Linked DNA regions of Callithrix jacchus. The protein of the gene in region 3 interacts with the protein of the main gene of each other region in a pairwise test. Links are inferred from orthologs where the notes say so. Each region holds a gene or a part of one and is shown on either strand. Other genes may lie near its edges.

Region 1 (7,400 bases), on a different chromosome or scaffold from region 3:
GTGCCTATTTTTTTAATCCATAGAAGAATTTGGATATACAGAAATCATTTTTAGTAGTTACCTTCAGGGAGAGAAACAGAGACAGGCAGTAAAAAAGGAAGGAGGTGACTCTTTAAAAGGAAAATGTATCAGACAAGCTGAATTGGCCCCTATGTCCCCAGGGGAAGGTCAGAACAGCTGTGTCTCACCTGGCATGATGATCTCTGGGAAGCCCAGCTTCCTGGCTACTACAGTGGTCCTGTCCACCAGGTGTGGATAGTCCTTGCGGATCTGAATGATGTCACCCACCAGCATCTTCATGGTCACCCAGAGACCTGGAAAGGAACAGCTTACCGTGAAGAGCCCACTTTTCCTAGTGTTCTCTCAGTCTGCCTTCCCACCACTTCTCTCCTCTGTCTTTCTGGAGATCACTGGGAACAGAGTCATACAACCAAAGATGCAGCCACCCAACCCACGAGGCCTGGAACAGGAGATCTCTGGGTCTGAATCCTACTAATTTCTAGCAGTGTCAGCCTCTGGCAACTTACCCAACTTCTCTAAACCCAAAGTGAGGATACCACCTATCTCACAGGCCTGGGGTAAGAATGAAATCAAACAAGGTAACTTATTAAAGTGCCTGGAACACAGGAGATATCCAGGGTGTATCAGTTCCTCTCTTCTTTTGGGCACAAGGACATGCCTCCAATTTGCTTCAGGAGATGTGACTTCTATCCCTATAGATCATATGTTCCCATTCTTCCCAGTGGTCTGTCTGAAAGGAAAGCTAAGTATCCCAGGGGTCAGGATTTTGATTCACTTGCTAAAGAGTCAGGGGCTCCTAAGCTGGAGCAAGCCTAGTCCATCGGCACGTTAGCACTATACCTTGCCCTCCGCTGTCCCCCTTGGAGGCTATGACTTTGCCCAGCAGGCTGTGTAGGAAGTCATTCTCAGCTGTAACCCTGGAAAGGAAAAGAGAGTATGAAATGTGCACCTGGTGCCCTCACTTGTGTTTTAAGGAGCCCCTGAAGGGAGCTCCCCAGCCCCTCCACATGCCTTAGGTGAAAAGTGAGCTTGCGTGTGTCAGCTCAGGGTATATACTTGCCATCATGAGGCACAGCACTTTGTAATCACAAAGCAATGTGGTTCTGAAATTTGGGAATATCGATGCTACAGGTAGAGGTCATTTTTTCTTCTCCAGGAATCTGCTTTAAATGGTAGGATTCCAAAACTTTCAACATACTTATCTGCTCAGCAAGAGCGAAGACTTGAATTGCTCCTGCTAAGTCGTAATCACACATCTTCAGCAAAGTCACTAGCCTCATTACCTAGCCCATCCATAGGGTTATTAAGTACTAATGATGCTCTCAAACTGGGCCCCTGCTTTCTGGAAGACTCCTTTTGGAACAGGAGAGGAGGGGACATTCACCTTCCTTATTACCCTCCTCCTAAGTCATGAATATGACTATCCATCCACAAAAGCCGGGTTAGGATTCCCTGCCACACACTCCTGAAACTCTGCTGCTTCACAGCTTCGTGGCTTCCGCTGCACTTGTAATTAATGCTTAATCTTCTGTTGATTATCTGTTTAATTCCCCATCTATACTATGAGCTCCATGAGGACAGGGTCCATCTTGTTCAGTACTTCATCCTTCACACCTAGCAGAGTGCCGGCCTCTGCCAGGCCGCCAATAAATGTCTGTGGAATAAATAACATCTGATGAATGAATAGGTGAAGAGCTGTTTGGTTTTGAGTGCCTGGGCACTGAGCCAATGATTTCCACCCTGCACTCCCCTAAGGAGGCTCCACCTGCCTATCACTAACTCAGGGAACCAGTGCACTCTGAGCTCCAGCAGCCCTTGATGAGAAAGGGTGTGGTTGAAGAGAATGGAAAGAAATGGCAAATGTCTTACGGGTGAAAAGGAATGAAGTGCTGCTTTTCTTCATCACTCTCTGCTTTCCCCTTGATGATGTCTGTTATATCCATAACTAGAAAGAGGAGAGAATGAATTAATGGTTTAACTTCATCCTGCTCCCTGGAAGGGATGACAGTGGGATGAGCTTGCGGGACAGGAGGTAGGGCCTAGGCTGCCTGGGGGTCAGGAGGGCCTAAAATGACAAGCAATCCTGTGCTGCACAATACACAGGCATCAGAGTTTCCTGGCAGGCAGCATTGGGGCAAATACCTCTAGGCAAAGCAGACTGGGAGGTCAGCAGGCCAGGGAGGCATCCAAGAGCACCACGGCTTAACAGAGGCCAAAGGAAACGAGTCAGAGCTGGGGCTGTGGAATTCAGATTTGGATTTGACACGTATGTATTGAATGACTACAGTGCCTACAAAACTGGAGAGCAGTGATTGGGATTCTGTAGGATCTGTGAATCTCATGAAATATTCACCCTTTTTTCATAAGCATACTCATATGTACAGGCACATAACAGTAGAATCCTCCAGTCCTATGATTCCAGTGGGATCCTGGATCCTTTGAAACCTCTTCTTAATTCAGCCACTAAAGGCCCCAAAACCAAGGTAAAGAAATCTTACACTGGAATGGGGATTCTAGAAATTGGAGTGGAGGAGAGGGCTGAGAAAAGCTATTCCAACGAGCCCATACCCTAGTTACAGAAAATACCTCAAACACTCCAGGCACTGGATAGAGGACCATTAAAATTGCTTCGGTAATAAACCCTGACTGCATCTAGTTAGAGAGGGAGTCACAGAGAAGACAGGAGGAGAAACTGAGCACCCATCTAACAGACTCTCCTCATCCATCCTCAGTGCTGTGATTTGGGCAGGGCAATTTCCCTTCGGCTCCAGAGTTGTTCATAGGACATGGCAGACCAGAGAATCATCTCTCCCTGCCCAAAGTAAATGCTCTGGAGATGAGCAGGTGACTTATATTAAAGCTCCTGGGACTTCTGTTGAAACTAATGGGAAAGAGGTACATTCTTTCCACTAGGTTTCTAAGTTGGTAGAATGCAAGCTTGGAACAGCTGGCTGATAATCTGCCAACTCACTGGACAGCCATCTTATTAGCAATCCAGCATGAGGACATAGGGGCTGAGCAAGGAAGAGACAAATTCTTCATAGTAAGCCAGCATGAGGACATAGGAGCAAGAAAGAGACAAATTGATTTGAGTTCCTGGATCCAGCTATGCCTGAAGCAATCTATTCATAAGACTTTCAGTTACACTAATAAAGTACCTTTTTTTCTTTTTCTACTAGTTTAGATCAGATCTTGTCACCTGACACCCAAGATAGGGCAGACTACAGCTGAGGACAAAGACACACTTTGCAGTAAGGTTAAAGGATTCTCACTGCCTTAACGGAAACACTGTGATGTCAGAAATGCCCCACAAGTAGAATCAGAGCAGTAGAGGATTTCATGAATTAACCAGGTGCAAGTCCTTCATTTTGCACATAATAAATCTAAGGCCCTGGGGAAAACGCTTACCCAACATAACTGGCTGGCTAGCTAGCCACAGTGCCAGGTTAAAAAAACCAGTGAGCTCGGTAAAACATCCTTCACTCCCCCACTTTGCAAGCAGTGCCAGGGGACTAGTTGGAGAATCAGCAGGTCTGTGATTACAGATCAGAGCATCTGGAAATGAAAAACCTGTAACACTGAGCTTAGCTATGGTACACAGGGGTTAGAAATAATATACTATTAAAAATTTATATTTTAATAAAAAGAATAAAACTGGCATATCGAATTGCTGTTTTTCACACATTTAAATTGCCATTGGCGAAAAACATACATTATATAAAGTAGGTTGATTAAAAGAAAATATAGATAAATTATAGTGCAAGTGGTAGTCAAATATAACTAAAACCATAAAAGTAGGACTAGAAGGATGAAGCCTTAGAAACCCCAAGAGAGCTAAAGCTTGGAGAAGAATACAGAGCTGACATTGCTGTGTAGCAGCCTCATGATGAGCTCTGCCTCGGGTCACACCAACTCTTCAAATGTCCGTTTCCATCTGGAATTTCGATGTGTGGTAGGTGACTCATTCTGTGTAACTCCATTTCCTGTCCTAGATATATTTTTTAAATGATTTGCTCCTCATAATTAGATCCTGCCTGTATTGTTTTTCCTTTTTCACAGAGCTGGGGAGCAAAGGCACCAACTGCTCAGACGGCATCGGTCTCCCCATGCTCTGCTCCAGACAAGAGTAGCTCATGATTCACTGTTTTCATCATAAATCTGGACTTAGTCACCAATTATTTTGATTTAGTCACCAAAAATATAGTTATTAAGGGCTGTCTGGCATAAATTTTGAAGGGGTGGGGGAGGAGGGTGGGAAAGAAATATTCATTAAAATTCAGCCACATAAAATGTATACTGCAATAAAAATTAATGGTGCAGTATGTCCCTTACCTGCCACCCCAAAGGGCCTCCTCAGTCCCTGTGTGCACTTCTTTGTGCCAGTATCCTTAAGATCCATCTTTCCGACCCGAACTATTTGACAAATCAAGTAAATTTTATCCCTGTTGAGGTCTTTGTTTCCAAGATCCTGTGGAGAAGGAAATTAAAAATTACCCATCATGTGCTGAATGGGAAAAAAAAGTAGACAAGTAGTAAGATTAATTTCTGAGGGGTGTCCGTAATACTCGCTATACACGGACCAATCATATAGTAAGTCCTGGAAAAGGTAGAAAAAACAAGGTTCTCACACCCATTTTACAGATAAGCAAGGTAAGGTTTGCAAAGGAAAATGAGCCATCAAACTCTAGTGTTTAATCCCAAGTCTTCCCTCTCAAAATGCTAGGACAAGAGAAGGGTAGAGGTGGAATATCAGCTGTACAGATGGTATTTCCATACGCAAGGTGATGGATTCAAAAGTAGCATTTGCTACAGATAAGTCGGGTAATACCATCAGTCACATCATTGCTCAGAACCTCAGAGAGAGAAGGCAGAAGGAAGAGGGAAAAATCGTAACAGCTACCATTTTCTGAACACCTAAAGTGTGGCCATCAGTCAGGTTAAAATGGTACTAAGAACCCCAATATCTCAGAGCTTATAACACAGAAGTTTTCTTCTAGTGCAGTCTACAATGCAGAGGGGTAGGGACTCTCATCTCTTCCTTACTCTGGGCCCCTGGCTGGCAGCTCAATCTCAGCGCAGGTGCTTTCATTGTCTCTGCATCAGGGGAAAGGAATGTGGCAAATCACTTACTGGCTCTTAAATCATCTACTCAGGAGAGATGTACATCACTTTTGCTTACATGTCATTTGCTAAAGTAAGGCATGTGGCCACATCTGACTTCAAGGGGTCAGGAAACTGCACTTAACTATCTGTGTGTGTGTTTGTGTGTGTGTGTGTGTGTGTGTGTGTGTTGTGTTGTGTTGTGTTTTATTTTGAGACAGAGTTTCACTCTGCCGCCAAGGCTAGAGGGCAGTGGCATGATCACAGCTCACTGCAGCCTCAATCTCCTGGGCTCAAATAATACTCCCACCTCAGTCTCTTGGGTAGCTGGGACTACAGGCATTAGTCACCATGCCCAGTTAATTTTTTTTTAAGATGGGGTCTCACTATGTTGCCCAGGCTGATCTCAAACTCCTGAGCTCAAGAAATCCTCCCACATCAGCCTCCCAAAGTGCTGGGATTATACACATGAGCCACCGGACCCAGCTCAGCTGAGTCTAGAAAAGCCAAAACTAGTGAAATGTACTCATGTCTCATGCACTGTGCTAAGTGATTCATGCATCATCATATGCAATCCCTCAGATTTCTGAAGTATCTGAAGTATACACAGTTATTACATCCCTTTTACAGATGGGGAAACTGAGGCACCAGGAAGCTAAGAGGCGTCCCCAAGGTCATGACCATAGCCCATGAGACTGGGTTTTGAACCCAGACCCTGACACCAAAGACCATAACTGTAGCTATTACAGTACAGCTCACTTATCATCAGAAGGGCATGCAGGAGGGAACTCCTGACTGTCTGCTCAATTCTAAAAGCTTCAGTGATCCTGGGGCCCCCTGCCAGTGAGGATCAGCTAGGGAAGAAATGACAAAGCATGCTGTTGCCATCAGAGCAGAGTGCCCTGGGCCAGGTCTCAAAAGGGAACAGTTTCTTCTCCTTCAAGTTAATTCTCCTGTGGGCATATGCTCTGGGAACAAGTTGTCAGCTCACATCAGATCCAGGGCTGAGGCAGAGCAGCCATCCCTAGCCTCTCACTACGCTGGTACAGGAGGAAGGGAGTGGGGCTATGTAATGTCTCTGGGAACAAGGCAAGGCCCCAGTGTGGTCCACACCTTCCTGCTTGGGGACTGTGATGGTTAAATTTTATATGTCAACTTGGCAAGGTTGTAGTGCCTAGCTGTTTGGTCAAACATCAGTCTAGATGTTGCTGTGAAGGTATTTTGTAGACCTGATTAATATCTAAAACCAGTTGACTAGGCAAAGGAGATGATGTTCCACAATGCCCATGGGCTTCATCCAACCAGCTGAAGGTCTTAAGAGCAAAACCTGGGGTTTCCCAGACAAGGAGGAATTCTGCCTCAAGGCTGTAGTATAGAAATCCTGCCTGAATTTCCAGCCTGCCTTTCAGATCTCAAACATATATTCCATGGGTTCTCCTTCCCCAGAGAGCCCTGACTGGCATAAGGGCTGTCCATCCACCAGCTGCAGGAATGGACATCTGCTTTTCAGGCTAAGAAAGCCCCTCCATCATCTGTATCCCTTGCCTTGCTCTGCAGGCATTTGAATTTGAGATCCCAATTATTTCACATCCAGATGGTTGGAACAACCTTGTCTGTGGCCTACCCGACTCCTTCCTCCAAACCACTCTGAAATCTCTTACAAACTCATCTTGAGAATTCAAGTCTATTACTTCATTTCTCGCCCCCTAACAACATTAATAGCTCCCTATTTCCTACCCTATTCTATCTACTCTTTCCAGTTGGTATGAAAGGACCTAGACTAATGTATCCAGCTGTCCTAGCCCATTGATTCCCCATGACTATCTGAATATAAGTAGGTTATTTTTGTCACCAAGATTTCTTTATTGCTCCATAAACACACAATGCTCACTTCCAACTCTAGATCTTTCTTCCTGACCACACTGCTCCCATACCTCCCCTCCAATGCTTGCCTCTTTGTCCTCTACATATCCACATCCTTTCCATCCTTAAAACTCGAATCCTGCTGCCTTCATAATGACTTCCATCCCTAATACCTTCTCTCCTCACTTAGGATTCTTCATATTTTTGAAATATCTAGATTGCTGCCTTTCAGAGGCATTTCAGAGCCACAGAGGCCCTGGTACCCAAAAGCTTCCTAGACATTAAGGGTCTCAATTGCCCCCCTAACACCCCAAATTCATATTTTGAAAACCTAATCGTCAGTGTCTTACGATGTGACTGCATCTGGAGATGGGTCTTTAAATAAGTAACTAAGTTAAAAAGAGGTCGTTTGGGGA
Region 2 (7,885 bases), about 23 Mb from region 3:
CTGTAATCCCAGCTACTCATCAGGAGGCTGAGGCAGAAGAATTGCTTGAACTGGGACCTGGGAGGTAGAGGCTGCAGTGAGCTGAGATCATGCCACTGCACTCTAGACTGGGCTTCAGAGCGAGACTCCATCTAAAAAAAAAAAAAAATACAAAAAGTAGCCAGGCATGGTGGCACCTGCCTGTAGTACTAGCTACTCAGGAGGCTGAAGTGAGAAGATCACCTGAGCCTGGGAGGTTGAGGCTCCAGTGAGCCATGATCACACCGCTGCACTCTAGGAAACAGAGTGAGGCCCTGTGTCAACAACAAAAACAACAACAAAATAACCCAATTTTAAAATAGTCAATTATGAGAGACTGACGTGGGAAGATCGCTTGAGACCAGGAGTTGGAGACCAGCCTGGGCAACATAACAAGACCCTGTCTGTACAAAAAATTTTTAAAGTTAGCTGGGCATGGTGGAACACACCTGTAGTTCCCAGGTACTTTGGAGGCTAAGGTGTGAAGATTGCTTGGACCCATGAGTTTGAGGCTGCAGTGAGCTGTGATGGTCCCACTTGCACTATAGCCTGGGTGACAGAGCAAGACCCCATCTCTTTAAAAAAAAAAGAAAATGGTTAAGGGTTCTGAATAGACATTTTTTCAAAGAAAATATGCAAATAGCCATTAAACACGTAAAAGGATACTCAACATAATTCATCAGAGAAATGCAAATCAAAACCACAATGAGATATCACTTCAAACCCTTTAGGATAGCTATAATGAAAAAGATAATAACAAGTGTTGTTGAGGTGTAGAGAAACTGGACCCCTCATGCACTGCTGGTGGAAATGTGAAATGGCACAGCCATCCTGGAAAATAGTCTGGCAGTTCTTCCAAAAGTTAACGAGAGTTGCCAATTGACCAAGTAATTCTACTCTTAGGTATATACCCAAGAGAAATGAGAACATACGTCCACACAAAAACTTGTACTTGAATGTTCATAGTAGCATTATTCATACTAGCCAAAAGGTGGAAATCACCCTGCAGCCACCAGCAGATGAATGGATAAGTAAAATGTGGCAGGTCTACATATACAATGGAATACTGTTTGGCAATAAAGAAGAATGGAGTATTGATACATAATACAAGGTAGATAAAACTTAAAAATGTTTGATGTGGTGGCTCACTCCTGTAATCCCAACACTCTGGGAGGCTGAGGCAGGAGGATCACTTGAGGCTGGGAGTTTGAGAGCAGCCTGAGCAGACCCTATCTCTACAAAACACTAAAAAACTAGCTTGGCATGGTGGTGTGCACCTGTAGCCCTAACTACTTGGGACGCTGAAGCAGGAGGATCACTTGAGCCCAGGAGTTTGAAATTACAGTGAGCTGTGATTGTGGCACTATACTCCAGCCTGGGCAACAGAGTGAGACCCAATCTCTTAAAAGAAAAAGAAAAAAAAAAAAACCCAAACTTTAAAACATTATGCTAAGTGAAAAAGTCAGGGCCAGGTGCGGTAGCTAATGCCTGTTATCCCAGTACTTTGGGAGGCTGAGGTGGGTGGATCACCTGAGGTCAGGAGTTTAAGACCATCCTGACCAACATGGAGAAACCCATCTCTACTAAAAATACAAAATTAGCTAGGTGTGGTGGCACATGCCTGTAATCCCAGCTACTCAGGAGGTTAAGGCAAGAGAATCGCTTCAACTCAGGAGGCAGAGGTTGTGGTGAGCTGAGATCGTGCTATTGCACTCCAGCCTGGGCAACAAGATGAAACTCCATGTTTAAAAAAAAAAAAAAGGGTCAAAAAAGACCACATTCTATTTATATGAAATGTTCCAAACAGGGAAATCTATAAAAGAACAAAGTAAAATAGTAGTTGCCAAGAGATGGAAGGGGTAAGGGTGGATGATAGCTAAAAAGAGTATAGGTTTCTTCTGTGGGTGATAAAAATGTTCTAAAATGGATTGTGGCAATGGTTGTACAATTCTGTAAATATACTAAAAACGATTATATTTACACTTTAAGTAAAGAAATTGTAAAGCAAGTAAATATCTCAATAAAGCTGTTAAAAATCCTTCAGGCGAAATGTTACACATTTAGCAAACCTTTTCTGTAAAGAATCAGACAGTAAATATTCTAAGCTTTGCAGGTCATACAATATCTGTTCCAACTATTCAACTCTCCACTGTAGTGAAAGCAGCCATAGATGATATGTAAACGAATGTATGTGGCTGTGTTCCAATAAAACTTCGTTTACAAAAACAGGTGGCAGGCTGGACCCTGATCTACAGACCACACAATCTTCCTCAATCCACACCACTATCCTATGAGGACGACAAGGCAGTTAGCTAATGCCTCGGAGGTGAGAGAGAACCTAACGTCTTCTCTAGATGACAACTAGTAAATAGCAGAGACAAGACTTCTAGCCTTGACTTCATTAGGCAGTTGCATTCACTCAGATATGCTGATTAGATAGGTTTCTCCAGAACACCTCCCAGTCTGGGAAGTCAATAGACCTCTGACAAGCTGGTGCAGAACTGAACTGCCACAACCACTCACATAGGTCTTCTTGTTGTAGTATCTCCTTCTCCAACACCTCAGTGACCCTTTCCTAAACTCTTCTTCTCCTTCTGATGATCTTCAATGGCATGGCCATTCCTAAGCAGCCAAGTTCAATCAGCTTGCTAACTGAAGTGTTTATTGAGAAGAACCTACTTGGGTTTAATCTTCTACTACAAACACACATAAATATCTCACAACTGGTAAGGTCTTTGTAGAGCACACACGGACCTGATTTATGCACCTTCCTCTTCATTCATTCATTCACTCCTATTTTCTTTCACATTTGACTACCTATCATGTGCCAGGTACTTCCAAGAGCCTAAACTAGTAAGTTTGCAGTGGAAAGGAAAACAAAACAGTAGGATCAAGTGCCATCATTATATAAAGACAGCATCCACGAATCTAAATTAACCCTTTGTGGTCAAACGTGGTAACCCACCCACGCCTGTAATCCCAGCACTTTGGGAGGCCAAGGTGGGAGGATCACCTGGGTCAGGAGTTTATGACCAGTCTGGCCAACATGGTGAAACCCCGTCTCTACTAAAAATACAAAATTAGCTGGGCGTGGTAGCGGATGTCTGTAATCCCAACTACTCCAGAGGCTGAGGCAGGAGAATTGCTTGAACTGGGGAGGCAGAGGTTGCAGTGGGCTGAGATTGCACCACTGCACTCCAGCAGGGGAGACAAGAGCAAAATTTCATCTCAAAATAAATAAATATATACATAAAGTAATTAATTAACCCTTTGCTTTTTCCAACTTGGTGAACTCCTGAATGTGTCCCCTTTGCTATGGACTCCCTGGGATGTCCTTTCTTCTTCTTTATTGGCCCTTCCCCCAAGTCCTACAGGAGAAACTTCAGCACCCTTCTGCATCCAGCCACCTTCCCCATTTCTATAAAGTTATAGAATCTGACAGCCAGAAAGACCCTCAAAGGCAACATCGTACTTCAACTCACAGAGAAAAATGAGGAAGTAGTTACATGCCCAAGATCACACAGACCTCAGAGGTTCAGCCAGCATCAGATCCTAGATTTCCACTTCTGCCACAAGGCCAAAACTGCTTGTGAAATTCTGGATTTTCTAAAGCAGGCAGTGTTAGGGAAAAGTCCCTCACACCTTGCTGTCACCCCTGGACATGTTCTAGATACCCAACAGTCTTCCACCTCCTTGCTGAACTCCTACTCATCTATCACTGTTCAGTTTAAATGGCCTTTCACCCAAGACTTGTTCTAGACTCTGAACATCCCTAAGATGGGAGTAGGTGATTCTCCGTGTCCTCACAGCTTCTTTGTATGTCCCTTATCAGGATATTATAAACCATAGTTTAATCAGGATATTATAACCTTTTTCACTGAACAGTCAACATCATTCAGGTGGGCCTTTTCTTCTTTAATTGAGCTTCTCTACCAATACATACAGGTGGGTCTTAAAGACTACTGCGCCTCCTGCCCCCAGCACAATAAAAGTAATTGAATGGTGGCGGGAGGGTGTTACTGCTCTTCCTTCACTGAAATGAGTCATTTGCCCTCTCACCCTAACACCACTCACTATCAGCAACAAAAGAGCCACAACTTCTAAGCTTCATCAGAGTTGGAGGTGGAGGTGATTCCAAAATCAGAGATGGAGGTGTCAATTTCTATTTAGGAGAGAGAGAAGGCTGCAGATGGCAGGGGTTGCACAGGATGGAAAGTCAGGAAACCTGCAGCTAAAGTGCCCGGGATGGAGGACTGATTGAACTTGGCCCTTCTGTGCAGGTCTTATGTTGGGCAGTGGAGACATAGAAAGCAGTCAGACTCCAGAAACCCGAGTCTGCTCTGTAACCTAGGCGAAGTTCTGATTCAGGGCCCAAACCTCCCCTTTGGAAAACAAAGATGACACTTGCTTTCCTCATTAAAGAGAGGGCAGCCATAAGCTTTGAGAAAAGCTGCCCAGGCCAAATATCAATTAATGTCTCGTGCAGGACGCGCTGTTCCCCCTCGGGTCGTCTGCCTTTGTTTGGGCTTCTCTTTCTCGTCTGTAAAAGGACCCGACTGGCCTGCATAACCTCATGAGCCTGAACCCTGCCTCAGTCACACCGCCCTGCACAGCAGAAGTCCGAATTCCACCTTACCCCCAGCTCGGCCCTTCATGGCCTCACCTGTCGGCGGGGCGTAAGCCCGGGCTGGAGACAGGATGGTTAGCCCCGGACTCTTAGAAGCGCTGGGGCCACCCGCAGGCCGATTCAGGAGGCGGCGTCCCCCGTCCCGCAGCCGGTGACAGCTCCTCCACATCGCGCCCGATAGTCTGGGAGGATGCGCAGCGTGAAACCTAGAGCAGGAAACGGAGCGAAGGGACCTCCAAAGCCGCACGATCGGGCTGTACGGAAACCTCTCACCGCCCCCTCAGAGCCCGCAGCCTCCCCTGGATGCCGCCATCTTCCACATGACACCAACGGCGTGCCGTCGCCGCCGCACGCCTCCTGCGCACACCCCCAGTCAATTAGCATCACAAACGCGCCTCGCTCCGCCCCCTCCACGCCGCGCCTCAGCGAGAAGACCACAAGTCCCAGCGGGCCGCTCGCGCACCCCACCACGTGCTTTCTCCTCCCGCCAATGGGTGGAAGCGCCGTGTAAACCTGTTCCCGCCCTCACCGGCTCGCCCGAGCCAATCGGAAGGGGCGGGGTGTGTGTTTGTGCGTGCGCGCGCGTGCGTGTGTGTGTGTGTCTGTGTGTGTGTGTGTGTGTCTGTGTGTGTGTATGTGTGCGCGAGGGCAAGTCGGGAGGGGGACCCAGCTCAGGACTGGGAGGCCCTGCTCTCAGGTCCCTGGGTCGCGGTGGCGGCCGAAGCGCTTAGTTTGCATACAGCGGACGGGTGGTCGCCCCTCCCGCCCCCACCCTGCGCGTGCGCGCCTCGGCCTCTCCCTCCCAGCCACCCTCCTTGGCTCCCGCGCGGCGGCGGCGGTTCCTCTCCCACTCCCCCCAGCCCTGGCTCCGGGGGACCCCGCGATGCCGGTCCGCACCGAGTGTCCCCCGCCAGCCGGTGCCTCGGCTGCCTCCGCGGCCTCACTCATCCCGCCGCCGCCCATCAACACCCAGCAGCCCGGCGTGGCCACCAGCCTGCTCTACAGCGGCTCCAAGTTCCGCGGCCACCAGAAGAGCAAGGGGAACTCGTACGACGTAGAGGTGGTGCTGCAGGTGAGCGCCGGGCCGGGCCGGGGCCCGAGGGCCTCCTCGCGGCGCTCACGGGCCGTGCCCGTCTCGGCTCCTCGAGCCGGCAGCCGCGGAGCAGGCCCTCGTCGCCGGGGCCTCCTGCACCCGGCGCTTCCCACCCGGGACCTGCCCAGCCTGTGCCTCACACTCTCCGAGCCCCAGCCCTGACCTGCCCCCTCAGATCCAGAGCCCGTCAAGACCCGCTTCTGGCGGACCCCGAACACTCTCCCAGACTTGAAGCCGGTGACCGGCCGGTCCGGGATCCGGAAGCCCCCATGACTCGGGGAAGGCCCGGGTCCTCCCTCCTCATGACCTGCCGTCCCTACATCAGGGACTGCCACGAGCCCTTTTCAGACCCTGAAGAACTCTCCATTGGTTTCACCAGACTCTGGACACTCCCCGTGTCTGGGCCCATGTCAGATTCAGAACTGAGTCCTGCCCTCCCGCCTCTTCCTCAGTCCCAGGAATCCGCAGACCCTGGGGGCTTCCTCTTCCTGAGATCTCCTTAGGAGGGCTTCATCAGACCCCTCAGACGGGGGAACACCAAACGCACCACTGATTGGTCAGGCCCTGGCCCCACCTCAAGACCAGACACTCACTCCCTGAGTGCTGCTCACAGTCTGCTGGGATCTTGCCTCCTGGGTCCCCTGTTCCACTCGCTGCTTCCCTCTCTTCATGCTCCAGGCACCCAGCCCCTTCCAGCTGCTCCACCTCCCAGCCTCCTGCCCCTGCTCTGGGACCACTTGCAGTCTTCTAATCTTCCTGGCATCTGTCCAGATTCCCCACCCCATATCTTCGTCTTGCTCGATCCTGGTTCCAGGGGACCCTGTTTGCTGTTCTTAACTTTTCTCTACACAGGCACAGGGCTTCCTCCCAGTGTCTGAGACCCATGTACTGGGAAATCTAACTCACCCAGTTTTAGTTCATGTCCAGCAGCCTCCCTGCATTTGACCTGGATTCCTGAATACCTGCTGCCAGTTCCTGATCAGCCTTGGAAGTACAGCTTCACCTGTGTGGGCCTTTCCCACACCTCACTCCTCTCAGGCCTGACACTTTTTGCCAGCTGAAATACTGCCCCCCGGGTGTGAGGGTGAAATGTACAGTGTATCTGTTCCTCAAGCTTGCCTTTTGACGGGTTAAAACTCTAAATCTTAGTTTTACTTCTGAAGAGTAGGTATCCCATTCAAAAGACAATGAGGGTGCCTTTTCTTTCTGCTATCTGCAGAGCAGGCATCACTCTTTCATTCTCATACTGCTGTGTGGGAGTAAATAGTTTTCTCTGCTTACTTGAAACAGCATCATCATGTTAATTTTATCTTTGGTCTGTAAAGTTCTAACATGAACCACAATCTTTATTATAATGGAAAAACTATTGTGGTTGAAATATTTTTGTCTTCATAACTATATGCCTAATGTGGTGATCCTCTTCTTGTTTTCTTAAAATGTGAACATCATTTCGGTTTGTTTTGCACCTAATCAGAATTCTGGAGGTGAGAACCCAGGGTGGGTCATGTTTGGGATGGTGTTGGATTTGTCCCCATTGTTGAGTTTGATGGTTTCTCATGTAGTAGGGGATAATTGGCAGGGTAGCCAGGTGTCAAAGGGGAGTCTGCTTTGACAACTGCAGCAACTACTGCTCCCTTCTGTCATTTGGGTGTCACTTCTGAGCTCCTGTCAGAAGGAGAATCGTGAACCAGTGGAAGCGGTGATTGAGTTGGGACAGGGCTGATAGGTCTCAGGCAGCTCAGAGCAGAAACCTGGCAGATGGCTGGGAGCCACTTGAGTAGGAAGTCTGCTGGTGGGGATGGTGGTCATGCCAAGGAATGCTGCCCTACATCTGGATTGGGGAGCTGCTTGGTCATCATCACGACTACTTAGTGGTATGTGAATTGCCCCATCAGCTGGTTTTTCAGTCAGGACTAGTTTCTCAGATACAGCCTTCTTAGACACAAAATACTTCTGCCTTTTACAACTCTCCTTCCTTCCTTCCTCCCTCCCTCCTTCCCTTCCACCCTCCCTTTTTCTTTATTTAGATACAATTCACTTATTTAAGGTGTACAGTTCAGTAGTTTTTAGTATATTCACATTTGTTAAACCACCACCACAACCTAATTTTAGAACCTTTCATCACCCCAAAAAGAAACCTTGTACCC
Region 3 (4,244 bases):
TTTGGAGTAGTGGGTAAAAGTGTGAGATTTTTATTCAGATTGCCTAGGCTGAATCTCTTTTCACCACTTACAAGGGTCTCAGTTGCTTCATCTGTAAAATGGGCATAATAATTGGACATTTCTCCCAAAGGTTATTGTGAGATCTAGAAGAATTAATCTACATATAATTAACTTATAAATGTCCTGGCACATAGTAAGTTCTCGATGAATGTTAGCTATGATTGCCATCAAAAAATGTTCAAAGAGCAAAGTAATTTGTTACGTCATTCAGCTTTTCATTTTCTAGCTTTATTAATATATCAATTGCTTTATATTTTATGAGTTTTAAAAGTTTATAAATGTGGAATATTTAAAAACACTGGTCCAGATAGTGCACGGGTCTTTCTCTCTTTTTGAAATGGCCTTCACAGTCTGTTTCTCAGCCTGATTTTTATAGCCGGTGGATTGGAATTAGGAGTGGCATAAAACCTCCAAGGAAAGCCATTTGTGGAGTTATTCACCTTCTCCACAAAGGCAGGGGCAGGAGAAGAGTTTGATTTCTTCGTCTGGCACTGGCCAGGGGTATTTCACATCTTAATTCAGAGACACACTGGAATGATCAGGCTGAGCAGTAATAATGCCTTGAGCAGTTTTAGTCTAGCTTAAGCAACATCTGCCCTAGTTCTATTCACAAACATCAACAGATCATCTGTCAGTGTAACTATGTCACTCTTGGAGTCCTTCAACGGAGTTGCCACTTTCCTTACCTCTTCATGGGTTTTCTTAAGGCAAAGAAGATCTTCCTTCAGAGACTCCACATGGGCCTCCAGGTCGGATTTGCACAAGGTCAGCTCATCCAGGATTCCATGCAGGCCGCTGATGTCAGCCTGTAACAGCTGGCGAAGGGACAGTTCACTGTCGTACCTTTCACAGCAAAAGAGAAATCCAACACTTATTCTGTTGAATGCTGTGCAAAGTGTGAGGATACATGGAGGATCGACATATGAATTTCAGGAAGCCACATGCAGAATTTCTCTTAATTCCTGAGTAATGATAAATTCAAGCTTTTAAGACATTCTTAACTTTAAGATATTATATAGAGAATATTTGTGTGTGTGTGTGAGAGAGAGAGAGAGTGTGTGTGTGTTTGTGTGTGTGTGTGTGTGTGTGTGTGTGTGAGAGAGAGAGAGAGAGAGAGAGAGAGAGAGCGCCATAAATTATTTTCAAAATAAAATTAAGCCTGGGTGTGGTGGCTCATGCCTGTAATCCCAGCACTTTGGGAGGCCAAGGCAGGCAGATCACCTAAGGTCAGGAGTTTGAGACCATTCTGGCCAGCATGGTGAAACCTCTTCTCTACTAAAAATACAAAAATTAGCTGGGCATGGCAGCACATGCCTGTCTGTAATCGCAGCTACCTGGGAGACTGAGGCAGGAGACTCGCTCAAACGCAGGAGGCGGAGGTTGCAGTGAACCATGATAGTGCCACTGCACTCCAGCCTGAGCAACGAGGGAAACTCCACCTCAAAATAAATAAATTAAATAAAATTCAACTCACTTTGACTTAAAATCCTCAGTGGCCAGTTTGCAGTTGTCAAGCTGTACAGCAAGTCTAGAATTCTCTGCCTTCGTGCATAAGATCTGTGAAGAAAGTCCTTATTTAATAAAGTATTCTTTGAGAGAAACCTAAATAAACTACTATCCAACAGCTATGCCATTAGTTATCCTTTGAAAGTCTTTATAAGAAAGTGTAAAATGGCCGTTAGCTGCTTTCCGTATTCACCGTGTCACTTGATGAAGCAAACAAGCAGTGCCAATTCAGAAACAAAATAGAGACATAAAAAGGTTCACTTTTTCTCATAACATAAGACATTTTGCACTATTCCTAGGCAGTGGAACGCCATTAACGTTTTTCTCCATCAGTAGTTTGTATTATGACTATACCCTCTCCCATAATGGAAATTCATCAGGGAGAGAAGAAAATGACTAGGTGGTTAAAAAGATGGCATTTCATGATCTGTGTTCAGATAATATAAATGTTCAGTGTCACATACAAAAGCGATTTTGGATATAACACAGTCTTTTTGCATTCTATAGATGACGAAGGAAAAGTCCACAGACAAGTTACTTTGTTATAGTTACTCAGTAATCAGGGGTAGCTTTAGGGGTGGGACTGAGGTTTCCCGACTTCCAGCACAGTGCTCTTCCCTATGTACCATTAACTTGTAGAACTCTCCTTTCTCTTGGTTTCCTTCTGTAAAACAGCACCTTCTAGTAGAAAGATAAAGCAAACCATAGATCGAGAAGCTGGAGCACTAGGGCAACAGGACATGCACCTTTTGTTGGAGATCTTCAATGGTGTTGAAGTAACACTGATAATCGGGACATGCCAGTGGGATATCCTGTTCACATTGCTCTTGGATCCTGGATTCCAGCTCTGCATTGGTCTCCTCCAGGCTGCGCACCTTCTCCAGATAGTTGGCGAGTCTGTCATTCAGGAACTGCATCGTCTCCTTCTCATTGCTAGTGAACACTCCATCCTCACACCAGGCACAGTTCCCCACCAAGCAGGGACTACTACAACTCCCAGTAAAGTAGCATGGCAGGAGGCAACCGGTCAGCCCGAGAGACCTGGAAAGGGAGCTAGGGGTCTGACATCGGGATGCAGCACAGGAACCGGGGAGACAAGCTGTCTCCATGGAACAGCTTGAGGCAGGTGCACAACAGGAAGCCCTGGTACAGGACTCAGGAGAGCAGAGCGTGGAGGAGCAGTCAGAAGACATCCTTCTAGAAGCAAAGACAGAGACTGGCTGCAAAACACCAGTTGCCTTGACTCCAAAACACTCCTTCCCTCCTGAGAGTTTTATATAGCGCCCCCTCAAAATGGGTGTTTACAGACTGCACCGGATGTTTTCGTCATCATTGATGGTGCCGGTTTTTATACAAACATCTCATTAGAGTTGTTTATTTACTGAAGAAGAGTTGTATGCCTCATAAAAGGGGGATAACTTTAGGTTACCAAAGCAGGGCCCACACCATTTCCATGTGCAAGACAAAACACTTATTTCAGAAAATCATCATAGGAAGCATTGTCTTTTTGACAGAATAAGAAAAGAAAGAGAACATTTGGCCAATCAATAATTATAGATACAACTCATTACAAATCAGGAAATTAATATTCCCACAGATTTTGATTCTGTGCATTGATTGCTTGTGTCTTCTTTAAAATTAGTATTACGGCTCATAAAAGGACATTCATTTGTTTGTCCACCACTATAAAAATGGTCAGTGTGGTTAGCAATCTTCCAGTGCTTTTTGTGATCTTAGAGCATGTGCTGACAGGACTGGAGAAGTGAGGTATATACTGGGTTTAAAGAGTGTGAGTGTGTGTGTGTGTGTACAAACCATGTCTACCTGCATACAAATGGAAAAGTCTCTTTACACAACTGATAGGAATAACTTGTTTCCTGTAAGTTAAAATATATATTGGTTAGAGCTGGAATTATGATCTTTGACTTCCTGAAACTTGCCTTCTCCACACTTCTTATTTTTAGATAAGTCATACAATTTTACCTGTATTCCTAATAAGAGTGAAATATAAATTTTCTAAGTTATAATCTTTTAGTCCCTTGGGAATTCCTCAGTGATTATACTTCAGAAAAGAGGGAGGAACCCACAGGAGTCTTTGCTTCTGAGATGTATAAACATACTGGAACTTGGGAAATAAAATTCTATTCAGGTTCCAAATGACTAATTCCACTGGTTGAAATCTCTGATGCCAAATCTGACAGATAGGAGCTTGAGATGTGTGACTTTTTTGGATTCTCTCTTGAATTTCACCTCCGTTATGAAGTACAATCTATTTCACTTTGCTTAGCGTTAGTCATGACATGTATTTCATTTTCAAAGGTGCACAGAGAAAATTGCCTCTAGAATTTTTAAGAACATTATAGGAAAAAAACACATTAATCTGAAAAAGTTAAAAAATTTATGATCCAAAATAAACTTATTTCTTCTCCTAATCTTGAGTGCTGCTTCCTGGGTAGCTGAGAAGAGAAACCAAACCAAACCAAGCCAGAGAACATATGTAAGTGAGTTAAAATAGTCTCTTACTCCCTGGGCAGAGTTGAGTTTGAATTTAGTGATTCTCTTTACACATCAACACTTATGAGAAAAGTTTTTAGAGTGCTTCATGGTATGCTGATGCTGCTTTGCAACAAACACAAGTTCAAGGATTCAAAAACACTTTCAAAAAAATCACAACTCTC
Region 4 (7,844 bases), on a different chromosome or scaffold from region 3:
CCAGACTCCTTTGAATAATACATTTATATTTGGGTAGTAAATTTAGCTGAAAATTATATGTTTAAGTATAATTTGACCAATTATTTTCTGAATGTATATCATCTTACAGTTGTCCATACTGAAAGCCATTTTCAATTTTCTGCCTTTCAGGTACAGCCTTGAATGATTTTCCTGCAGTCTGAATAATTTTCCTGTTGAGTTTCTTGAATGATTTTCCTGTTCAGTTGGCAACTACTCATTTGAAAATAATTGGGATTCATTTGCTCATAAATCACTTCCAAAGAGAATTTCAGAAATAGAAGGGTCCTTAGAGACTGTCTAGTCCAACAGTCTATTTCACAAACAAGAGCTCTGAAAAACAGAGATTGAGTGACAAGTCCAAGTTATAGTCTTTGAGGGTTCCACCTTGACTTTCTACATGCTCTCACATAGACCCTCTCCCTGCCATTTTCTTTAGTGTGTGAACTCCCTGCTGGTTCCAAGTCCTTAGGTATCCTCAGTCTAAATAACAAAGTATCTTCCTCCAGACTATGGTGAAATCAAATGGTTTCTATGTATATAACGTGCATATTTCATGTGTTCCCTCAACAGACTTGGTTAAGTACTTGGTGCTAGGTGTTTGTTTAATCTTGCTAAAAATTCCACCAGTATGCCTATTATTACACTCATTACTCTCCAAAGTCAAAGTCATTAAGTAAAATCATGTTCTCCGGTGAAATTTAACCACTTAACTGGGTGGATACGACTTCAGGGGTATGACCTAGATGCTGTTCTCAAATTTGCAGAATGAACATGTTTTCTAAGCAGGTTTCTAAACATTTGAGAGTCACTGCTTAAGAGGCTTACTGTTCCTTTCTTCTGACAGAGGTTGTTCAGGTCGGTCTGCCAACTCACACACCTGGTAGAGGGGAGCCTACCTAACCAGGTGTGTTCCAAGGGTAGGCTCTGCTCCTATGACATCCAGTCCATAGGCTGGCCAGTCACCTAAGTGAGGCTTGGGGTAAAGACATGATTGATCGAGTCAGATTTTTTCTCAGGGGAATATGGCTTAAAATCAGAGAGGAGTAGCAGTTAGTCAAAACCAAACCAAACCAAACAACACATCTGAAAAAAATGCAGAGAGAATCCATAAGGAAATGATGGGTCAGAAGCAGCAACAAAGTGAAAGTAGAGGTTCTGAATTAGAAAAAACCATACAGGCCGGGCGCGGTGGCTCACGCCTGTAATCCCAGCTCTTTGGGAGGCAGAGGCAGGTGAGTCGCTTGAGTTGGGAGTTTGAGACTAGCTTGGCCAACATGGCGAAATCTCGTCTCTACTAAAAATGCAAAAAATTAGCCAGGCGTGGTGGCGGGCGCCTGTAATCCCAGCTATTCGGGAGACTGAGGCAGGATAATCACTTGAACCCCGTGGGGCGGAGGTTGCAGTGAGCTGAGATTACGCCGCTGCACTCCAGCCTGGGCAGCAACAGAAAAAGAATCATAGGCAAATAGGGGAATGGTGAGGCATGTAAAAAAGTGAATGTGTTATATTAAAGATGTAAGAGTTTAGACCCTCAGTGTCCTGCTATCAAGGTCAATAAGCAGGATCTGTCTGGTGAGCCAGGATAAACTGAGGTTTCAGCTCCAAAGCCTGTGAGGTCCTTTTTCCTTTACCGCTAAGCCTTTCCATCGTACCCTAAATAGAACGGATTTGATTCTGGCAACCAAAAGAACTCTTTACGACACCTGGGAAACTTTAGGGAGGTGCTAGCGTGTGCCTTAAGCTTTTTAGCTGTGTGCTACTCACTGGCCATTTCCACGCTCTAGGGAAGTTTTACGTATGCAACATATTGGCCTTAACTTCACCAATGGCTGATTTCCATCTTTTTTTTCTCTTCTGCAGAAACATAACACTAATCATGCTCCGAGAGCACCAACCAAGGTAGACTTTAGGGGGAAAACGTTATAAGACGTGAACGTCTTCCCTGGTAGAAAGAAGAGCAAGCCCTCCGCTCCTCCCCGAGGTCTCAGAGGCCACACCTGCAGGCAGGAGCACGCTTTTCTATGGCGGAACCCGGTCCCTTTCTCGCGGCCGCCGGCGCAGGACGGTGGTTCCAAGGACATTCCGCGGCAGCCCGCGCCCCCGGCCCCCGGCCACCGGCCCCCGGCCCCCGGTCCCCGGCGACCGCCGCGTCACCTGTAATTGTAGGCGCTGAAACGCTTGCTTTCTCTCAGCATAGCCCGGTACAGATCTAACACTTGTGCGCGGCTGGAGGCTGCCATTTTGGAAAGAAAAAAACAAACGGGTCCTCTTCGGAGAGGTCCCAAGTCCAGCCCAACCCACGGAACTTCAGCCTGTGCAGAAACTACGAACGAAATAAAGTGCGGCGGCTCGGCCTTGCCAGCTAGGCGGGCACCCCTGAGGACCGCAGACGGCACCCGGCATCCCGGGCCTCTTCCAAGGCGGGCACAGGCAGGCCTCGGGGCAGCTAAGGGGGCGGTGCCTGGAGGGAGGTGCCTCCGCTCCGCCCAGCCCCCGGCTGGAGGCTCTGGACCCAGCAGCCGCTCCAAGCGGCTGAAAGGCGGGGAAACTAGAGGCCTGGCCGTCGGGGCATCCAGCCAAGCCCCTGGGGGACGAAGATCGGAGGCGCGAGCATCCGAGAGAACTGCAGTTGCACCACGGAGAGCCTTTGCGAACCGTCCGGGGTCTTGGAGGGGACATTTGTGTTTCAAGGCGCAGCGGCCCTTAGTACCTCCAGGAGGCTGCGTTGCCAGGGTTACCGAAGGCCGCCGCGCCGAAGGCCCGCCCTTGACCGCCGATTCCCCGCCCCCACTGGCTGCGGCCGCCCTCAGTGCTGCCTGAGAGGCCTTGCGGGATTTCAAGGGTGACTTGACTTCGCCCGATCCTGCTCGGCTGGATGGGGTTTCATGGCCTTCTCTATGTTGGGAGGCGCGATGTCTGGGTGTGGAGGTGATGAGCCAGGGGTTCTGTGGTACTCCGGCGCTGCTCAGGGCGACCTGCATAGGGGCCTGCGGGACAGGCCCGCTTTCTGTCAAAATGGCGGTGCCCAGCGTACAGGGGTGTCTCTTCAGTTGGGGTTTAAGATTCTTGCCCTGAGAGCGAACTAGCCTGCCACGCTTCCGATTTTGAAACACTTGGGTCTGGGTTTCCCGGGAGAGCGGTGGGTGAGTGCCGGCCTCGTTGCAGCCTGGGGTGCGACGTGGGCAGTTGGTGTGGTAGGGGGTTTACATTGGCCGTGGATTTTTTTCCTCTTTCCTGATGTGGATTTGCTTTTGAGTGAAGTGTCCCCGTGGTTTTGTAAACTAATAAATTTGTAAAATGCAGCCTGGCTGTAGACCTCGGAGAATAATTAGAGACCTTTAGGGGTTTAGGTATTCTCCAAGAAGCAGAGCAAGTTTTCTCCCATGGCTTGACCTAAACTTTTTTGAATTACCTTATTAAAGTGGTGGATAAAGTTGCTTGTTCTAATTTTTGAGCATGGGACTGGAGGCAGGGAAGCCTCAGCCAATTCTAGTACTGTGTTCGCAAAGCAATTTTCTTATTTTTGGAATCTTGCTTTACATAACCTTAGGAAGAACGACACCTTTCTGCATTCAAGCACAGTGAGGAGTACCTTTATACGTAAAAACAAAAGGGCTGGACGCAGTGGCTCCCGCCTGTAATCCCAGCACTTTGGGAGGCCGAGGCGGGCGGATCATGAGGTTAAGAGTTCAAGACCAGACTGGCCAACATGGTGAAACCCCGTCGTTGTGACATGGTAAAAGCCCCATAAAGCTGCATACCTCAACCATACCTAGGCTTTGTGTTGAAACTGCTCTCTGTAACCCTGATGTGACAGGCAAGCAGTCCAAACCCACGCCATCTTGGCCCCTGCGACTTGTAATAAGTAACTAAGGTCTGTAATTTCCACCCATATCCAGACAACGTGTAAACTAACACTTATCTTGACTTCTGTAAACCGCTTAAGCCACAATCGGAATATCCAAAGCCCTCTGGCCCTGGGAATGTCCGGAGCCCCTCACTCTCATCTCCGCCCCAGAGGTAATTTACGGAATCCACTGGCCCTTGGAATGTCTAAAGCCCCTCACCCTCACCCCCAAGGTGGTTTACAGGCGTAAAAGTTCTTGACACCCTCCTTTCAGGGCCACGGGTTGGAGAGACGAGAGTCCTCCGTGACCGCCGGCAATTAAGACCCTGCAATTTGGCATACTTTTGTCTTGGTGTTAACTTTCTATGCTCGGGCCAGTACAACACGCTACTGAAAAATACAAAAATTGGCTCGGCCTGGTGACTCGTGCCTGTAATCCTAGCTACTTGGGAGGCTAATGGAGGAGAATCAGGGACCTGGGAGGTGGAGGTTGCAGTAAGCCAGTTACAATTGTTTCAACCTATTAAGGAATTTAATCATTAATGTATATAATTAATGTATCTAAATGACTCAACTTTGTGGTAATCAAATAAAACTTCCAAGTAAATATGTATAGTTTAGATAGTTTGGGTAGCCTTGTCCTCTGTTAGTACAAGCAATGGTTGCAGTTAGGAAAGCGATAGCTTCCCAGTTAATTCTGAGCCAAGTCTTCACAAAAATACCTCATTATTTTATTTAAAATGGTTTACCAGTTTGATGGACATCATTGCCTTGAGAGGCTAATAGAAAATATTAATTCAAAAGCTACATCTCACTTTTGCATATCTTTATTGTGGAGATGCCTTTTTTTGTTTTTAAAAAAGAAGAAAGTAACTCTATTTGAGACTGTAAGTAGAATGGGCCAGAAGCTGAAGAATGGACCATACCCATATGTTCCTTAACATGCATTCTGTTCTGGGTTGAAATTTTTCTTAGGGAATATCTACAATAGGAGGTACCATTTAGGAATCAAAACATAAAAATTTCTTTAGTATTCGTTTTTCGTTTATCCAAAGTTATCAAGTAACTATAGTTCTTTATGTAAAATCTTGTATTATCTTCTATTAAAATTAGGGTTGTCCATGACCACCTAGTGCTGTGTGAAGAGAAATTTCTCAAATCATAATAAACAGCATAACAACAATTTACTGTCCTGAAGCTTAAATATCAAAGTGATGTATGGAGTAAAATTTGTATAGAAATAGTAACTTATGATATTATTTAGAAATTATTCAGGTGGGCATGGTGCTGTACACCTGTAATCCTAGCACTTTGGGAGGCCGAGGCAGGTAGATTACTTGAGCCCAGGAGTTTGAGACCAGCTTGGACAACATGGCAAAACCCCATCTATACAAAAAAATACATCATAGCAAACCTCATCTCTACACAAAAAGTACAAAAATTAGCTGGGAGTGGTGGCAGGTGCCTGTAGTCCCAGCTACTCAGGAGACAGCGTGTAGTCCCAGATACTCAGGAGACTGAGGTGGGAGGATTGCTTGAGTCCTGGAGGTCGAGGCTGTGTTGAGCCATAATCACGGTACTGCACTATAGCCTGAGCAGCAGAGTGAGACCCTCTCCAAAAAAAAAAAAACCAAAAGAAAAAAAATTATTCTATCCTACACCAGACATGAATCTAAGTATTATACATTGATCCTTCATTTTAATAGAATATGAAGGGGGAAGACCTTATATATCAACTCATTCATTTGTATAGATGAACAAACTCAAGCCTTCCTCATTCCTTCCTTCCTTCAGCATTTATTGAAGACTTCGTAAGTACCATAATTTATTATTTTTTTTTGTTTTTTGTTTTTTTTTTGAGACGGAGTTTCACTCTTGTTGCCCAGGCTGGAGTGCAATGGCGCAATCTCAGCTCACTGCAATCTCTACCTCCCGGGTTCAAGCGATTCTTCTTCCTCAGCCTCCCAAGTGGCTGGGATCACGGGTATACACAACCATGCCTGGCTAATTTTTTGTATTTTTAGTAGAGATGGAGTTTCACCATGTTAGCCAGGCTGGACTCGAACTCCTGACCTCAGGGGATCCACCTGCTTTGGCCTCCTAAAGTGTGGGGATTATAGGTGTGAGCCACGGTGCCTGGCCAATAAGTACCATAACATATGAGGACAAAACTATAAGATGACATAGTTACAGTGATGAGAGCCTCCCCACCCCTAAGAAACCTGTAGGTGATTAGATAAACCAAACAATAATTTATAGAGACAGGTTCTCGCTCTGCTTCCTAAGCTGGAGTGCAGGGGTATGATCATAGCTCATTTAAACTTCAAACTCCTGAAGTGATTTTCCTGCCTCAGCCTCCCAAGTAGCTAGGTCTATAGGCTCATGCTACCATGTCTGGCAAATTAGAAAACTTTTTTTTTTTTTTTTGGTAGAGATAAGATTTCACTATGATGTCCAGTATGGTCTCAAACCCCTCAGTGCATTTCCTGCCTTGGCCTCCCAAAGAGTTCAGCTTATAACTATAAAGTGTGAGCCGTGGCACTTGGCCAATAATTTCTTTTTGACAGTTGCTGTGATAAGAGCAATAATTTAGCAAATACTAAAGGAATACAGAAGAGGAATATTGAACTAGGACTTTCACCTAAGGGAAGGCTTTCCATCATAGGTGTTTCTAGAATGAATAGTAAGAGCCAGATGAGGAATGTGGTTAAAGATTGTATTGTATATTCCAAGCATGGAGGCAGAAGGGTGCTTGATCTATTTAGAGAACTCTAAGTGTTTTAGGATGGTAGGAGGTGGGAAGGGAGGGACCGCAGAAGTGGTTAGCCCTGCACTAACTTTATTTTAGTGATGTTTTTCCTATTTCTGGAATAAATCATTTCTTCCATTATGCATTGGCTGAGTCATATAAGTATAGCTTAACAGCTGAGCTGTTGAAATGGAAACTATTTATTCAGGTATGGATAGCCTTTTGTTTCAGATCATGAATTTGAATCCTATATTTGAGAGGCAGTGAAATTTTATTTGTGCATTCAAAAGATAGCCGGCAGCCTGGTAGTTCAAGTTTCTGTTCTCGCAATGATAACTTGAGGATGATGTAGAAATCAAACATGGATCCCGTTTTCCAGAAGTTTATACTTTAAATACATTTGTATATAATTAAAATAAGGAGTAGGAGATATTAGGTTGGTGCAAGAGTAATTGGGGATTTGACCATTAAAAGTAATGATCAAAACTGCAGTTCCTTTTGCACCAACCTATACAAAGTGCTTCAAGGAAAGGGCTGGTGAAGCGTCACTGGGTCTCAGTGTAAGAAGTCACTTCCATCCCTTATGCTTGGGCCACACCTCAGACCAACAGCAGGGCTGAGGCCCAGGCTTCAGAGATTTTTGTTTAATTGTTTTTTAAGTTTCCTCCATGATTGGGTATAGCCAGGGCTGAGAAACACTGATATGAAGGAATCAGGAGGCTTCATGGAGGAGGTAATGTTTGTATTGGGCTTGAGAAGATTTAAGTTTCTTCTGGGCCTTGAAAGGAATTGAAGGATTTGAATGGGTGTGTGGTGGTAAGATGGCTACTGTAGGTGGAAGACGATTTACGCTTTGCCTTGAAAGGGTGAAGAGAAACCCTGATTGAGGTCTAAGAGAAAAACACTCATGACCTGGGAGGGGCTTTGGCCAGATCTGTAGAGTGCATGAGGGTGAGAACAGGGAGATCCCATGGAAATGTGATACATGGACTTTCATATGTGTTAGGCACGAGATGAGCTGAGTCCCAAATGATTTGAGTTAATCTTTCCATGACTCAATAAAAGAGCTGTTATCTCCATTTAAGAAAAGTGAAGCTGGCCCGGTGTGGTGGCTAACATCTGTAATCCCAGCACTTTGGGAGGCTGAGGAGGGAGGATCACTTGAGCTCGGGAATTTGAGACCAGCCTGGGTAACACAGCAAGATGCCATCTCAATATAATAATAAT

Evidence for each region.
Region 1: the proteins of KRT40 (region 3) and DOCK2 interact in binary tests that used the Homo sapiens proteins (3 or more experiments, as listed by UniProt). The two-hybrid records come from large-scale screens. The link is inferred for Callithrix jacchus from reciprocal best matches to the Homo sapiens genes KRT40 and DOCK2.
Region 2: the proteins of KRT40 (region 3) and ATPAF2 interact in binary tests that used the Homo sapiens proteins (3 or more experiments, as listed by UniProt). The two-hybrid records come from large-scale screens. The link is inferred for Callithrix jacchus from reciprocal best matches to the Homo sapiens genes KRT40 and ATPAF2.
Region 4: the proteins of KRT40 (region 3) and FARS2 interact in binary tests that used the Homo sapiens proteins (3 or more experiments, as listed by UniProt). The two-hybrid records come from large-scale screens. The link is inferred for Callithrix jacchus from reciprocal best matches to the Homo sapiens genes KRT40 and FARS2.

Annotation. Positions count from the first base shown.
Region 1 is NC_133503.1:61,931,283-61,938,682, reverse strand, and holds part of DOCK2 (dedicator of cytokinesis protein 2), read right to left. Parts: intron 4,490-7,400; coding exon 4,354-4,489; intron 1,967-4,353; coding exon 1,891-1,966; intron 939-1,890; coding exon 862-938; intron 315-861; coding exon 189-314; intron 1-188. UniProt on the Homo sapiens protein: Involved in cytoskeletal rearrangements required for lymphocyte migration in response of chemokines. Activates RAC1 and RAC2, but not CDC42, by functioning as a guanine nucleotide exchange factor (GEF), which exchanges bound GDP for free GTP.
Region 2 is NC_133506.1:69,115,309-69,123,193, reverse strand, and holds the start of ATPAF2 (ATP synthase mitochondrial F1 complex assembly factor 2), read right to left. Parts: upstream 4,971-7,885; 5' UTR 4,815-4,970; coding exon 4,682-4,814; intron 1-4,681. Other genes in the region: GID4 (glucose-induced degradation protein 4 homolog), read left to right, coding at 5,280-5,717. UniProt on the Homo sapiens protein: Plays a role in the assembly of the F1 component of the mitochondrial ATP synthase (ATPase).
Region 3 is NC_133506.1:92,275,932-92,280,175, reverse strand, and holds the start of KRT40 (keratin, type I cytoskeletal 40), read right to left. Parts: upstream 2,801-4,244; 5' UTR 2,760-2,800; coding exon 2,313-2,759; exon of another isoform or gene 1,618-2,312; coding exon 1,535-1,617; exon of another isoform or gene 904-1,534; coding exon 747-903; intron 1-746. UniProt on the Homo sapiens protein: May play a role in late hair differentiation.
Region 4 is NC_133505.1:25,185,302-25,193,145, reverse strand, and holds the start of FARS2 (phenylalanine--tRNA ligase, mitochondrial), read left to right. Parts: upstream 1-3,023; 5' UTR 3,024-3,164; intron 3,165-3,571; 5' UTR 3,572-3,757; intron 3,758-7,844. Other genes in the region: LYRM4 (LYR motif-containing protein 4), read right to left, coding at 2,176-2,261. UniProt on the Homo sapiens protein: Is responsible for the charging of tRNA(Phe) with phenylalanine in mitochondrial translation.